2 linked regions of the Canis lupus familiaris genome follow. The protein of the gene in region 2 purifies or fractionates together with the protein of the main gene of each other region. This does not show direct contact. Links are inferred from orthologs where the notes say so. Each region holds a gene or a part of one and is shown on either strand. Other genes may lie near its edges.

Region 1 (4,022 bases), on a different chromosome or scaffold from region 2:
ATGCATCCCAAACCCAGGTGCCAATGCTTAAATGCCACTCATAAAGCACAAATCTGCCCACTTCAGGCCCAGCAAGAATATCACACTCCTCTCTCTTGCTAAACCAGCCCGAGTTCCAGAAACCCAATAAGGTGAAAAATCATCACACGAGGTTGTGTTTACTAGTTCTTTTCAGATTTCAGGAGTCTCTTTGCTCTTATACATCTCGCAGTCCTAACTATTCTTCACTGTCCACTTGACTAATGATTGTTTGTGGGGCTTCCAAGGACAGTACCTCTCAAGCCAGCGCCAGTGCCTTCCTCCCCAGGCACTGCAACTTTGCCCTGAAACCTTGGTGGAAAGGGTTAACTTGGCTGAGGGCCAACCAAAGCGGGAGGGGGCAGGAGAGCCACAGGCCCAGGCTCATTGGTGCATTGTTCCCAACCTCAGGGAGAAGGGGGGGGTGGGGTGCAGCAGGCTCCACCCCTCGCCTGTGTGCTCCGGAAACCCAGTGCTAAGGCAAGGGGGGGACCACACCCCCCCCACCCCTTCTGATTGGACAAGGCCAAGGTCAGCCCCTGCCAGATGGGGCTGGAAACCCCAGAGGGCCAGAGAACTTGGTAGGCCTAGCTCCTCGTTAACCCCTTCATGGCCACAGCTGCCTGAAATAAGGAAGATAATTTCAGAAGGAGGAACAAGAGGAAGAGGAAAGAAAGCCAAAGCAGGAAAGGAAAAAGAAACTAAGGAAAACATAAAGAAATAGTTTTTTTAAAGGAAGATGAAAGCATAAAGAGAAGGAAGATAACACAAAAGGAAAAGATGTAAAATGGAGTGGAGCAAAACAGAAGAGGTGAGAAAGAGGAAAAAGGGCAAGAAAAGTTTCCTAGTTTCCCATTCTCTTCCTTCAATGTATTCTCATTACTTCGTGATCGCAAAATTAGGCTGCTTCCTTGTTATGCAGGCTTCCAAGTACACGCTCTTCCTCTTCAACCTTGACCTTTACAGTCACTACCCATTGTCCCAAGGTACCCAAAACTGACCCCCAAGGGTCCTGCTTCTCTAAAGCTCTTCTTCATCCCCTACTTAAATACTATCATCTCTTTTACACCCATCATTCAGATACACACACACAAGCCATTTTCTGGCTTTCCTTATCATGGTCTCTCCACCCTGCTTCCAACCCCAACGTGTAAAAACAGGCCTCCCTCCGCAAACCAGGCATTTCTCACCCCCAAACTCACACCCCTGCTTTGGGCATGCTACCAGGGGAAACACCTGCAGGGACATGCCCAGGCCTCAGATCATGGGGAGGGGGAGCGTGGAGGGGGGGGGGGTGCAAAGACACTCACTGGCATTGCTATCAGCCAGACTATTGAGGCTACTAGAAATGTCCCTTCGCCGGAAAAGACACACAACCTTTGCCTCCACATTTCCATTTGCAGTCTAAGAGGATAAAAAAAAAAAAAAAAACAGCAGTTAAAGTTGGTCATTTTAAAGTGGAAACACAAAAAGAAGAGACTAACAACAGTGCATAAGTCTCTAAGGGGTATAAATAGAAAGACCCAAAAGATTATGAATAAAACTTGGCGTTTAAGGACAGACTTCCAAACTTTTTATCCTCCAGATTTTCCCTTTCCTTGGCCCAGGAGAGATAGAATAGAAGGTTCCCACCCAGCTCTCAAAAGCCTTTCCTGAATACACCGAATGAATGAATGAATGAATGAATGAATGAATATGAATGGGCGCTTAGGATAGGATTGGTTCCCCTCCACCCCGCCTCCGCCTTCCACCTGAAGTTAGTGACCTCAGAAGAAAAAGACCCTCCCGGAGGGGGGAGGGGGGGAGGCCAGACAGGACAGGGGTGGGACTCTCTCTGTTCCACTCACCTTGTTGAGCTCCTCAATCCGTCTAACCAGGTAAGGATTGCTGGAGGAGTTCTCAAAATAGACGTAATCTGTAGGAGGGGGTGGGGAAGCACCGGGAAGATCAGAGGGGGAGATGGGAAAGACAGCACCGGGGTGGGAGAGAGAGGAGGCCTGAGAGGACCAAGGGGATAAGGATCCAGGTAGAGAGGACGCTGAAATGTGGAAGTGGAGAGACCACGAGAAAACAAGGGGTTTCCCCACCACCACCCAAGTTCTAATCTCAAATCCTTCCCTCAAAAGTGAGCCTTAAGGAAGGAGCAAGAAGCAGGGGGTCCCCTGCCGTCCCTACAACTCCGCCAGGGAGATGCACCCGTCTCGGCCAAATGAGCAATCGCTGACCCTCACCTTTTAGCATCCAGGCGCACAATAACGCCCGGGAGGAGGACACCTCCCGGCGGCGGCCGCTCTGCCCCCTCCGCCCCCTGCCTGCCCTGTCAGCTCGAGCCGAACCACCCTCCCAGGCCCCGCCGCCCGACCCCGGGGGCCCCCGACGCGGCCAGGACGGCGCCGTCGCGGCCTCCCGCAGCCTCTCCGAAGGCCGCGGGGCCCCGCCGCGTCGCCGTCCCCGCAGCCTCGCTCCCCGAGCTCCCGGTTCCGGTTCCGGTCCGCGCTCGGGGCCACGCCGCCCCAGACGCGGCGACCCGCGCTGCCCGCCGCCGCGCCTCTCCGGCCCCGGCCCCGGCCCCGGCCCCTGCAGCCCCTGCGCCCGGTACTCACCCCCCACCCGGTACATGTTGGCCGCCATGGCCGTTCCCGCCGCCGCCTCCGGCCGCACAAAGGGGTCCGGGAGACTCGCGGTGGCAGGGCTCGGCGCGAGGCGAAGCCCCGAGCGCGGGGCTGGCGCTTCGCGGAAGTCTCGGTCGGTCCCGCGCAGCCGGCACCTCCGCCACCTCAGCCGTCTCGTTTCATCCCGGCCCGCGCCGTCGCCGCCGCCGCCGCCGCCGCCGCCGCCGCCGCCTCACGCCCGGGACGCCGAGGCCAGCGCCGGTCCGCTCGGCCTCTTCCGGAACGAGCTCGGCTCCCGCCGGACCGGAGCCAGGCTCCGGCGCCCCCACCTCCGCCCTCGCCGAGCCCCAGCAGACGTCGGACTCTGCCGGCCGCCGAGGAGGCTTGCCCTGCCCGCCTCGGGCTTCGCCTCCTTCCGGAACACCTTCGGCCGATCCGGAGAACAAGGCCCGGCGCTCGGCTCAGGTCGGAGAGACGGAGCCCAGAGATCGGCCGCTTCCGGAAGAGGTTCGGCTCCCTCCGGCCAACCGCGGCCGGGCGCTCGGCTATTTCCGTCGCGGCTCGGCCCCTCCTCCGAGGGCGGGAGAAGAGTTGGGCTTAACTCTATCCTCGCCGGAGCCCCCGTACCTCCGCCTGAGGCCACGAAAGACTCGCGCGCCTTCGCGCTTCGCCGGGTCATTTGCAAGCGGCTTTGCCTATCGTTTGCATGAGCGGCCTACGCTCCCCGACTCGGTCCAAACTCCTCTTTTTCTTCATCGCCACCCCCCAGGGCTCCGGAGGCACCCAGCCGCGCCCCACAAAAGGACTGAGAGGCGACTTTGCTTCTGGTTTATTGCCCCTCAGCAGGCGGCGGGAGTCGGGGCCCAGGCTGGGGCTGCCCGGCTCGGCCAGCGGGTCTCTACAGTGTGCGCGGGGGGTGCCACTCGCCCCCTCCAGGGAAACGCGCGACCAGGAATGTCTCGGAGTCCAGGAAAGGTGGGCCCCCGGCCCCGGGGGCTGCGGATGGGGCGGAGCCGGGCCGCGGGCCGGTGAGTGCCCTCCCGCAGCGGTCAGACGTCGAGAGAGGAGGCCGGGGACAGCGAGGGGGTTCGCGAGGGCGTGGCGGGCGCTGGCACCGCGCCCCCGGCGCCCAGCACTCGCCACTGGAAGATGCTGGCGTCCTTGCCGCCCAGCGAGATGAGGTGCGAGTCGTCGTGCGTGAACCGGACGCTGGTCACGTGGCTGCCGTGGCCGCCGTACACGAGGCTGGGCGCCTGGGCGGGAACCAAGACGGAGCTGCGGCGGCGCCGAGCCCGGGCCCGCCCGCCCGCCCGCCCGCCCGGCCGCAGCAGCCCAGCCCGCCAGGCCTCACCTTGGCGCGCGCGCACGGGTACTGGAACAGGTGCACTTTGC
Region 2 (3,957 bases):
CCGGGACGCGGGGCCATCCCCACGGCGCTCGCCTTCGGCCCCCTGCGCCGTGAGCCGGCGCCTTCCCCAGCGCAGCTCCGGGCCCCGTCACCCCCGATTCCCACCGGTCCCCCACGCAGAGACCCAGCCCAGGGACCTTCCCCCGCAAGTGTCCACCGACCGAAAATAGATCCCGAGCCTGCCCCCGAGCCCGCCCGCCTCGCCAAGTCCTCCCCTTTAAAGGGAGCCACCGGGTGACGCCGGGGGAGTTTGCGGAAGCGCCAACCGCGTTGGGGCCTTGGGCGGATCCCGTGATTGGAACCGGCCCCGCCCCCGGGTCCTCTTCCCCCATTGTGTGAGCGGCTCGGGCCCAGGCCCCGCCCCCTCGCCGCCTCCCTCCGGAGGCCCAACCCCTCCCCTTTTTTTCACCCCCCCCTTGGCTCATTTCCGGCCGCCGCTGCTACCGCTAGCCTGTAAGGAGGATTCGGCAGAGGGAAGAAACAACAGCCGCCATCTTGTTTGTGTGCTAGGCTGGGGGGGAGAGAGGGCGAGAGGGAGCGGGCGAGAGTGGGCAAGCGGGACGCCGGGCTGAGTGCGAACTGCTGGAGCCGGAGTGCGGAGGCGAGCCGGGCCGGAGAGAGGCGGCAGGGGCCGAGACAGTGGCAGGGGGCCCGGGGCGCACGGGCTGAGGCGACCCCAGCCCCCTCCCGTCCGCACACACCCCCACCGCGGCCCGGCAGCCGGGCCGGCGTCGACGCCTAGGGGGGACCATTACATAACCCCGCGCCCCGCGGCGCCTTCGCCCGCCGCCGAGGGCGGCCCCGAGCGGAGCCCCGGGGGGCGGGCGCTCCCGGCACCTGGCCGCCGGGGGTGGGGGCCGCAGCGGCGGCCGTAGTTATTTCCGTGCGGCGGGAGAGGAGGACGAAGGAGGCGAGCGCGGCGCGAGGAGAGGCCGCCTGCGCCGCCCGCCGGAGCGGGCCCTCCTCGGTGGGCTTGGCGTCGGCGCGGACGGGCGGGCGGGCGGGCGGCGCTGCTCGGCTCGGCCCGGCCCCCTCGGCCCTCCGGACCTGCGAGCTCCGCGCCCGGCGTCCTCGCCGCGCCTCCGCCGCCCGCCGCGCGATGTGAGGCGGCGGCGCCAGCCTGGCTCTCGGCTCGGGCGAGCTCTCTTCGGCCATTAGGGGCCGGTGCGGCGGCGGCGCGGAGCGCGGCGGCAGGAGGAGGGCTCGGAGGGTGGGGGCGCAGGTCCGGGAGGGGGCACCGGGAGGAGGTGAGTGTCTCTCGTCGCCTCCTCCTCTCCCCCCTTTTCGCCCCCGCCTCCTTGTGGCGATGAGAAGGAGGAGGACAGCGCCGAGGAGGAAGAGGCTGATGGCGGCGGCGGAGCTCCGAGAGACCTCGGCTGGGCAGGGGCCGGCCGCGGCGGGCCGGGGACTGCGCCTCTAGAGCCGCGAGTTCTCGGGAATTCGCCGCAGCGGACGCGCTCGGCGGGTTTGTGCTCCTGTGCCCTCCTCCGGGCCTGGGCGCAGGCCCGGCCCCTCGCACTTGCCCCTACCTTTTCTATCGAGTCCGCATCCCTCTTCGGCCACCGCGACCCAGCGAAGAGAAAAAGGAACTTCCCCCACCCCCCTCGGGGGCCGGCGGAGCCCCCCAAGCCCACCCCAGGCAGCGGGGCGGGGAGCCCTGGCCGGAGAAGAGATTTCCCGAGGATTCTCGTTTTCCTCGCCTGTATCTCCGAAAGAATTAAAAATGGCCGAGAATGTGGTGGAACCGGGGCCGCCTTCAGCCAAGCGGCCTAAACTCTCATCTCCGGCCCTCTCGGCGTCGGCCAGCGACGGCACAGGTTAGTCCCGGGAGCCCTGGCCTTCCACATCCCCCCTTGATCTTTTTTTTGCTTGGTGCACCGTTCTTCTTCCATTTTTTTTCTTCCCTTTTTTTTTTCCCCCCCTCCTCTCTTGTTAGTTTTCTGCTTCTTGATTAATTTTAAAGGTGTTTGAATGAGCTGGTCGAAGACGTCCAGTAGCCCAACCATTTTCTTTTGCTTCCTAATACATTCGTTGCAACACTATGTCATATCGATGTGTTCTGGAATTAGAGCTCTTGAGTGGTGCTATGGAAATAGCCTTTATTGTTGCTCCCATGCAGTTTAATTTTTGAAATGCCAGTGCATTTGTGTGTAAGGGCTTTTTATGCAATTTTACTTTGAATTTTTTTTTGTTGTTGAGAAATGAGGAATTGCGAATCCTTTCTCCTCTATTGCACTTACTCTGTTTTCTCTACTTTCCACTCTTCCTTTTCAAGGTTTTCTTTTTTTTTTTTTTTTGCACAAGATTTTCCTTTGAGCATGAAAATGTAAAAAAAAAAAATCATGATTTTATTTGTATGTATGTGTGATCCACGACTTCAGGTTTGACCTTAGGTTTAACGTCAAAGCCAAAATTTGGTTCGAATTATTTTACCTACCATTCCTAGCTTCCCCCCCCTCCCGTTTTTTTTGTTTTTTTTTTTTTATTTGCCTTAAGAATCAATATGGAGCGCAGTTCATTTTACATCTCCCATTTCTTTGGTGTGAGACCAAAATGTCTGAAACTCGGGTTTTAGGTTGAGAGAGAGCAGAGGTATTTTCTTTGCAGTTTGTAGTCACTTTCTCTTGGGGTGTGCGTGTGTGTGTGTGTGTAGATAACCGATGGTGTGGAGTTATGTACTTGGAAATCAAAATTAGGAGTGGTTAGGGTCCCAATCATGAACTGCATACATTAGTTGAACCGTATAAAAGTTTAAAATGTGCATTAGGTTCTGTATTTGTGTGTTTTTCTCTTTGTGCTTTAAACATATTTGGAGGTCCATAGTTCAGCGTAAAAAAGCTCTACCATTCTTAACTTCACTCAGTTGTGGACCAGCCCTTTTTGTCCAGGGAAATTCAGGGAGACTTTCCTCCATCATCCCCTTCTTATAATTAGTTTGGTGCTCTCCTGATGGCCCCCGACCTTCTCTTTTGCTGTCGTCGTTGTTTGAGGTGTCAGGATAATGAAGAGGAAGAATGGCTGGCCATCTGACAGTCCACAAGATATTCCCCCTCTACTACGGAGCATCTCTTTAACTCAACGTCATCTCTCCATCTGCCAGTGAGAGTGTATAATGGAGTTAAATGTATCCTCTGAGTTTGTAGAGAACTTCTAAAGCATGTTTCTAAGTAGGCTGCATTTCGGAGGGTGAAAATGTAAGGATATGGCAAATGCGTTGGATGCTTTGCTTTTTTAAGAAAAATGTGTCATGAGTTTAAGATAACCTGCAAAGATTGAGGATTTTTGCAGTTTTGTGCCTTTCTACTTCAGAATTGTAAAATTGGCAGTGCAAGAACTTTGATCTATCCTTATTCCTTGAACTTTCTTTGGTCTTTACAGATTTTTTTTTTCTCTTACGTGCCTTTCTTCCTCAGAACTATTAATGCATATCGAGTATCATATTCTTTTGCACTTAAAGTACTCAGAGCGGTTTTCAGATCACCTTTAAACATATTTCTGCCTGCAGGTTTTTGTGTTGTTTCTCTAATTTTTGTGAAATGTGGTAATGGATTTTACATTTTAGTTCACCGGAGACTTGAGATGCTGTAGAGAAAACTTCTTTAATGTGTTTCATTTTGAATACTCCTGATTTGAGTAGCTTATTCTTGGAGTGTACTGCAAGGCCTAAAAGCAAGACTGGGCTCTGTTCAGACACCTCTCTTCAGGTGCTCTCCTGCCTTCTCCATATTTGATCTGTGTACTTGGCAACTTTAACTCGTTTTAGTAATGTCTCACCTGTCTAGAACACAAAAACTATTTTGCTACTTGAAATATCTTTGGATAATTATAAGAGTCCTAAATGTATCAAGTGGGTTTTTAGAGTAAAATATCCTCAATATTGAGATGAGCTCAATTTTAATACTAAAAGTTTATCTTAGTATTAGTTACCTTTCTCTAAATTTTGTGATGAGAGCTGATC

The links. The genes of interacting proteins can lie anywhere in the genome.
Region 1: the proteins of EP300 (region 2) and MTA2 purify together in Homo sapiens (affinity purification with mass spectrometry, with the first as the bait; 3 studies listed by BioGRID). This does not show direct contact. The link is inferred for Canis lupus familiaris from reciprocal best matches to the Homo sapiens genes EP300 and MTA2.

Annotation. Positions count from the first base shown.
Region 1 is NC_049239.1:54,555,937-54,559,958, reverse strand, and holds the start of MTA2 (metastasis-associated protein MTA2), read right to left. Parts: upstream 2,801-4,022; 5' UTR 2,650-2,800; coding exon 2,622-2,649; intron 2,333-2,621; exon of another isoform or gene 2,260-2,332; coding exon of another isoform or gene 2,250-2,259; intron 1,934-2,249; coding exon 1,866-1,933; intron 1,491-1,865; exon of another isoform or gene 1,423-1,490; coding exon 1,329-1,422; exon of another isoform or gene 1-1,328. Other genes in the region: EML3 (echinoderm microtubule-associated protein-like 3), read right to left, coding at 3,306-3,883, 3,982-4,002. UniProt on the Homo sapiens protein: May function as a transcriptional coregulator. Acts as a component of the histone deacetylase NuRD complex which participates in the remodeling of chromatin.
Region 2 is NC_049231.1:25,111,950-25,115,906, reverse strand, and holds the start of EP300 (histone acetyltransferase p300), read left to right. Parts: upstream 1-1,157; 5' UTR 1,158-1,722; coding exon 1,723-1,816; intron 1,817-3,957. UniProt on the Homo sapiens protein: Functions as a histone acetyltransferase and regulates transcription via chromatin remodeling. Acetylates all four core histones in nucleosomes. Histone acetylation gives an epigenetic tag for transcriptional activation.